Linked DNA regions of Sus scrofa. The protein of the gene in region 1 interacts with the protein of each later gene in a pairwise test. Links are inferred from orthologs where the notes say so. Each region holds a gene or a part of one and is shown on either strand. Other genes may lie near its edges.

The links. The genes of interacting proteins can lie anywhere in the genome.
Region 2: the proteins of MKRN3 (region 1) and FAM110A interact in binary tests that used the Homo sapiens proteins (3 or more experiments, as listed by UniProt). The two-hybrid records come from large-scale screens. The link is inferred for Sus scrofa from reciprocal best matches to the Homo sapiens genes MKRN3 and FAM110A.

Annotation. Positions count from the first base shown.
Region 1 is NC_010443.5:142,498,425-142,502,171, reverse strand, and holds the start of MKRN3 (probable E3 ubiquitin-protein ligase makorin-3), read left to right. Parts: upstream 1-1,203; 5' UTR 1,204-1,330; coding exon 1,331-2,827; 3' UTR 2,828-3,747. UniProt on the Homo sapiens protein: E3 ubiquitin ligase catalyzing the covalent attachment of ubiquitin moieties onto substrate proteins.
Region 2 is NC_010459.5:34,435,135-34,438,881, reverse strand, and holds the start of FAM110A (protein FAM110A), read left to right. Parts: upstream 1-1,152; 5' UTR 1,153-1,390; exon of another isoform or gene 1,391-3,747.

The DNA.
Region 1 (3,747 bases):
AAAATATAAATTTAGACCATAAATTCCCTCCAAGAAACTTGTTTAAGCAAATGAAATCCAATAATATATAAAATTATAATAAATCATACCACAAAAAGGTTTTTCTTGGAATAAAAAATGGTAAGTTAAACAGTTAAAACCTAGCAGTGCAAATAATCACAACAACAAGACAGGGAGAAAATAATATGATAACCTCTCAAAAAAATGCAGAATACTACATGATAAAATTCAGTAGCCATCCATAAATATGCTTTATATTTGAGAATTTACTTTTTTAACCAATATAATAAAATGCACTTGCAAAATTAAGAGGTACCGCTTACAGGGCATAGAATATGCTATGAAAGGCTGGTCTAACACAATACCACACAAAAAAGGATGAAAGAAGGGGAAACAAAGAGCCACTGTGAGTCAAATTAGCAAGAGAAAATAAAGGCTAGGGTCACAAAGGGCACAGGGGCTAATTAAGCCAGCATCAAGCCCACTGAAGTCTGCTGCTTCTGCACAGAGGGAGGGAAGCATTAGAAATCACAATAACCTAAGACAGCTGACAGGCACTAAAGCAGTCACAGATCACAAACGCTCCCTGCTAATGTCTCACAGGGGAAAAAACGTTTCCAACAAAAGCCGGTAAGAATTTCCAGAAAACAAAGAGCAGTCTCAAGTCTTTTCAACACAACTAAAGGGATTAAAGCTGCTAGCAGGGAAAGTCAGGAAACCCATAAATAAACATGACAAAAAATACGACCCACACAGACATAAAATGGAGTGAACAAACAAAGCATTTATAAAATTTATGCACGAGATGTTTCAGAAACAAGACACCCTTTTAAACATACGGGGCTTTAAAACAAACGAGGATTAGACGCTTTAAAGAGAGATGTATGAAAAAGCATTCAAATCACAGTGTCGGAAGGAACAATGGAAGCGATTGAATTAAAACCTCAAAAGGCTGGGATTCCTTTCCCCAGGAGAGACGCGGGGGAGCAGGGGCTGCGTGCAGAGAAGCGGAGACGCTGCTTGAGCCGAAAGCGGGCAGCGCTGCTGGCTGCGAACAAAGAAGGAAGCCGGTCAGCATTCCTGACGGACCGATCGGACCGATCGTGCAGAAGTGATGTAGGACCGATGTTGCCTCCACAGGAAGTGTCCGGCGCTGCCAGAGAAGGAAGTAGGAACACAATTACAGGAAGTAGGGACCGGGGGAAGCAGAAAATAGATGCACACTTCCTAAAAATCAGCCCCGAGCTAGCGCCCGGCCTCCGGGCCTCAAGGCTGACACAAGGAGACACCGGGGTAGTTCCGGTACCATTTCTGGGGAGCAGAAGCTGCCATGGAAGAGCCTGCAGCTCCCACAGAACCCTACGAGGCAGCTGGGACATTTGGGGACATCGAGGCAGCCGGGGAGATCAAGCCTTGGCCCACCCTTCCGGTGCCTCCCACCTCCCGGTGGTCTCCGGCTCCAGGCCCAGCCCCCTTCCGTCCGTCACGTGTGAGGCCCGCCCAGGAGTCAGGGGGAGGGGCTGGGCCCAGATGGCTGCCGGGCCGGAGCAGTGGCAGCTGGACAAAGGAAGTGGTCTGCAGGTATTATCTGCATGCTCAGTGCAAGGAGGGGGAGAACTGTCGATACTCCCATGACCTCTCAGGGCGGCAGGTGGCCAGGGAGGGCCCCGGTTCACCACCCCCAGCCTCCACAGACAGTGGCCCCAGCGCGGCTGCGCACGCCGAGGCCCTGCCTCAGGAAGTGGCGGAAGCCCCCCCGGCTGTGTCCTCACGCTCTTTTCCTCTGATTGGCTCTGCTGAGAGGGTTTTCTTTGAAGCCGAGACTGAATATGCAGGCCTTGAAGCTGCGGGAGGAGCAGGTGCGGAAGGCTGGGAGCATGCCATTGAGTTTGTTCCCGGGCAACCGTACCAAGGCCGCATGGCCCCTCCTATCTACGTGGCTCCTCCACAGGGCTTGCTGACTGTGAGGGAGCAGTTTGCCTTGGGCCAGAGGCAGCAGCTTTGCCGCGATGCTATCATGGGGCAATGCTTTCGTGGGCCAAGCTGTATGTATCTTCATGGAGATATGTGCGATTTGTGTGGGCTGAAGGTCTTGCACCCCTTTGATGGTGCTCAGAGGGCAGACCATAGAAGGGCCTGCATGGAAGCACATGAGCAGAATATGGAGCTCTCGTTTGCCGTGCAGCGCAGTGCGGACAAAGTGTGTGGCATCTGCATGGAGGTGGTCTATGAGAAAGCCAACCGGAATGATTGCCGCTTTGGCATCCTCTCCAGCTGCAACCACACCTACTGCCTTAAGTGTATCCGCAGGTGGAGGAGTGCCAGACAGTTTGGGACCTGGGTCGTCAAGTCCTGCCCCCAGTGCAGAGTCATCTCCACCTTTGTCATTCCCAGTGAATTCTGGGTGGAGGAGGAGGAAGAGAAGCAGAGACTTATTCAGCAGTACCTGGAGGCAATGAGCCACAAGCCCTGCAGGTATTTTGTAAGAGGCAGGTTCTGCCCATTTGAAGAGAACTGTTTTTACAAACATGCCTTCCCTGAGGGCCAGGGAGAGGAGCCCCAGAGGCAGGGTGCTGGGGCACCCGGTCCTTGGCGTGGTCAACTTTTGGAGCCTCCGCAGGTGGGAGAGGGCGACATGCCCTTTAAAAGCTGTAAAAAAGAGCTTGTCATGCTTTGGCTGGCCAATCTGTTGTGTCAGTGTTTTCTTTCATGGGGAGCTAATGAGCTCCCCTGCTCAGAGACCCAGTGGGACTTGCTTCATTGTGAGCTGGAAGAATATTTCAATTTGAATCTGTGGCATTCTGTGGCATGTTGTATGGTGTGCTGAGGCTCTGTCATCTGCTCTTGCCTGTGTTGTGTTTATAGACACATCTGTCACTTACAGAAGCTGCTGAAACCATTTGTTTAGAGCATCCATCTCTGTTTTCTTGCCCATTCCCATTTCTTTGCCCCTAGGGTTATGGTGTTTCACTGTGCTAAAAAGTCACAAAACATCCTTAAAGTTATTGTTTGGTGAAATTAATATGACTGTCAGTTTATGGTTTATTTTGTCATCTCTGTTTTCAACAGGATTGACTCAGTTCTAGTCTAGTGTTTACAGAATGTCCACACTCATTTTGAAGCCCCTCAAGAATAAATGTGACAGGGTGAAGGGAGAAGTCTTAACTGAACAAGGAGCTTTTTGCTACTTCAGCCTTAAGAAATCGACCCTGGAGGGGCCTTGTGGTGCAACTGCTTATCTCTGTTGTTTACACATTTGTTGCTTCTCATCCCTTTCAAGTGCACTCTTTAACTTGTGGTTACCTTGTGGTTTTGTGTTTTACTTGACCAGAACCAAGTGCATATGTTTACATGTTTTTATCCTGTTTAGCTTGATGTGAAATTATTTATATTTGGAAGTAATATTTAAGAATTATATATATGCATATTAATGTGTGTGAAAGCGATATATTTGAGGATAAATATAAAAGATATACACCATTTTATTATGTTTATGTAGTACATACAGAGCTAGAAGCTGAAAGTTAAAGGCTGATAAGATTTGATGTTGGGTGAATGTGAGGTGTGTGAATAATTCTGTCCTTTTCACAGGCTTCTGTGATTAGCATCTAATGAAAGCAGCTATTTCAGTGTCTCTAGCCAATTGTGATCATAAAGAATTTACAAAATACCAACATTGGTAATTCCTGTGATGGAATTAATAGCTTACCCTGCTGTTACCAATATAGAAATGTGAGTTCCTGTGCA
Region 2 (3,747 bases), on another chromosome or scaffold:
CTTCCCTCACCTGCCCAAGGCATGTCACAGTCAATGCTCAATCACTGACAATCCAATCAAAAAATGAAAAACACCAGTTGGGACGGAAAACAGTCTGACTCCAAAATGAGCAATGCCCTAGACCCAAACAGTGACTCACAGCTAAAAAATTCCCTCATCTGGAAGGGCTGAGTTAATTTTTCTAATTCTCTTTTTAAAATTTGTTTTTTGGAAGTGCCCTTGTGGCACAGTGGGTTAAGGATTTGGCATTGCTGCAACTGTGGCACAGGCTGCAAATGTCATGCAGGTTCAGTCCCTGACCCAGGAACTTCCACATGCTGAGGGTGCAGCCAAAAGAAAACAATTATACTGGTTTAACTGTTGGAAGCTTGGAAAATTCATATCAGCAAAAAGAAGAAATTAACTATTGCACATGTTAATACATAAATGTAGTCCATGTGATATTACAATTACATATTTAATGCATATTTACATTGTACATAGTACTTTGACACAACTTTTAGAAATATAAGACTTAGTGCTTTCCCCATATTTTAACGTCATTCTAAATGACTGCATAATATTTCTCATCAGAAAGTGAGGATAGTTAAAGGTACCTATAACTATGAGCACTGACAAGAGTTGTGTCATGAAAAATTACTTGTAAAAAGCTCTGTAAACTCAGTTCTTCTGCAGGATGGATTTATATATCCAATCTCCTTTTACTGAGCACTGAAGTTATTGCTGTTATTTTGCTACAGTAAATAAAGCTGGGCTATATTAATCTTGTTCATATATTCGGTTATTTCCTTTGTCAATATTGAGAGTGCTGGATATACGCTACTTCAAACTAACCCACTCACTCTGCAGATTGGGGAACAGAGAGGGAAAGGGGCGTGCACGGGCTCACAGAGCGAGTTAGTTGGAAAGTCAGTACTAGGAACCGGGAGTAAGTCCCTGCTGAGCAAGGGCAAGAACCAGAGGCCACTGGGGAGGTGAGAGGCGGTGAGGGGCGGGGATGGACCTCGGTGCCGCCGGCCAGGGCTCACCCTCCTGGCTGAAGCTGAGTGGTCGCCTGGCAACGCGGGCGGCGCGGCGTTCGAACGGAAGCGAGAAACCAATCAGGATGTCCGGGGCAAACCATTCCGGTGTGGTGGAGGGGGGAGCGGCGCGTTCACTTCCCCTTCCCCTGCGTCCCCAGAACTTTACTCTGGTGGGGGCTTGGAACAGTCGAGTCCCCTACCTCCTCTCGGGTGTTGAGGGCAGCTCAGAAGGACCTCCCGTGCTTCCCTACGCGGGGCTGGGGCCTCCCGAGACGCGTTGTGTGCGACCGTTCCCCGCCTGGGTCCGAGCTGTCAGCCTCCTCAAGACCCGCACTGGAGGAGCCGGACTCGCCTAGCGCGGGCTCCAGGTGAGGGCACGGGTGGCCCGGGGCGCCAGCCCGGGTCTAGGGGGTGCTCAGTTCACCCTGCGCCTGCTGTGCGCGTCCTCCCCGCGTGGTACCTGCGGCGAGGAGGTGGTACCCCATTTCACAAATGAGAACGCTGAGGCTCAGGGAGGCAGTATCCTAGTCTAGCAGAGAATCCGATACAGGTCTTTCTGCTCCATACCTCAGTCTCTAGTCTACGTTGATCTAAATAGATCTGCCTTGAGAGGCTCAGATGGGTCACTTTCTTAGCCTCTTATCAACAGGAACATGGACAGTAGAGCCCTGGCTGGAGCCCCATCTGGCTGTCCCTCTCCCGTGTCGTCCTGCGGGGTGGGGGTGGGGGGTCCCCTCCTGGACATCTGTCTTCACTTCTCCAGAAAGCCAGGGGGTGGACTTTGGGCTCACTTGGGATCTTTCTGCCTGTGGGGCTCTGAATTAAGTGCTGTCCCTCTCAGAGGCTCTGGTGGGACTGACATTTCTGGGCTAGGTGCCAGGGGGGGCTGCTCTGGCTCTCCAGTTGTTGTTGGATTCTTGGGAATCTACCACAGGTCGGCGGGAAAGGCTAGAGGCAGCCCCTCAACCAAAGACACTAGTCACCAGAGACTTTGGAGTTGGGGGTGGGCCTGGGATCCCTCCTGGTAGAGCATCTGACCAGGCTCTGTTTCCTGGGGACCCCCACCCCCTATCTCCCACCCCCAGGTTGCTGCTGTTGCTGTCCTTTTGTAGGTGGGGAAACTGAGGGTCTAAGAAGTTAAGCCCCTTGCCCAAAGTCATATGGTCAGACTTGGCAACTCTGGGGCTGGCTCCCAGTCTATCTGGCTTCAATCTTGGATTCCTAGACACTCAGAATGGTGGCATCTGGAAGTCTGGAATCTCTTTAAGTGGAGTTACTTACCCTCTCTCCTCCAAATCCACCTCCTTGGTGGGGGGGAGAGGAGTTCTGGAAGCTCAGAAAGAAAACAAGTCTTTCCTTCATTCTTTTAACAAATATTTACCAACTTCATATGGCCCCACCCTCCCCCTTCTCTATTTTGTTTTTCTCAGTAGCATTTACCGCGCTGATGTCCTATAATTTCACTTATTAGCAAGTTTATTATCTTCTCTGACTGGAATGTGACGCAGGGAGGGGTTGGGCTAAGTGAGGTAGTTACCTCCAGTGCAAAATTGAGGGGTGCCTAAAACCCCAGTAATCAAATGACTAGAGCTAACATTTGTTGATCATTTGCTGAGCGCTCTGCTGGTGGGAGTTCAGTCGATATGCAGCACAGCCCCCCAGCTCTGTCGCAATTACAGGTGCTTCCTCCTGACCTAGCTGTCCCACTTCTAGGTGGAGTGACAGAGGTGCAGTGAGGCTGCAGTGTGGTTTGTAATAGAGAGAGACGACACACATACTTGGTGGCCGTTGCTAGAGGCTGACAGGTTCTTTATGTACTGATGTGGCACAATTAATAACATAATTGATAATATGTTAATAACACATATTAAGAACAATATAACTGAGTTAAAGAGCAAGATGAAAACAGTACAGAGAGCTGTTGCCATATGTGTAAAAAATAGACTATATGTCCATTATTGTTTGTTTGTGACTAACATCTCACTGGGAGGACGTGCAGCTATCTCGTCGCAGTGATGCCTGCAGGGAGGGAAACTGGGGACAGGAGTGGGAGGGAGGTTTTTTTTTTTAACTTTATTCCCTTTAGAGCTTTTGAATTTTGAGCCACATACATATATCACCGGGTTAAAACATATATGTCTTATAGGAGTTCCCACTGTGGCGCAGTGGAAATGACTCCGACTAGGAATCATGAAGTTGTGGGTTCGATCCCTGGCCTTGCTCAGTGGGTTAAGGATCTGGCGTTGCCGTGAGCTGTGGTGTAGGTCACAGATGCGGCTCGGGATCCTGTGTGGCTGTGGATGTGGCAGAGGCTGGCAGCTGTAGCTCCAATTGGACCCCTAGCCTGGGAACCTCCACACGCTGTGGGTGAGGCTCTATAAAAAGGAAAAAAAAATTATATATGTATATATATATGTATTATAGATGATCTAATCATGAGACCACTGTCCTGTCTCTGTTCTGTCACTTGCTCGTGACTTTGGGTAAGTTTCTGTACTTCTCTGGGCCAAGAAAAAAGGCCATGATTGTGAGCTCAGGCCCAGGCAGAGGGCAGCCTGGGACAGGAAGTGGGCTTGGTTGTGGGTCAGTCCCAACCCCACCTTCCTCATCCTGTGTGCCAGGCCCTTCCCAAAGGCTTTGCATGGCAGTATCTCTGCTGCCAGTCCCTTTGTCCTCATCTTGCAAGCTCAGGTGCACACCTGGCGTCCAGAGGATTGAGTGGGCA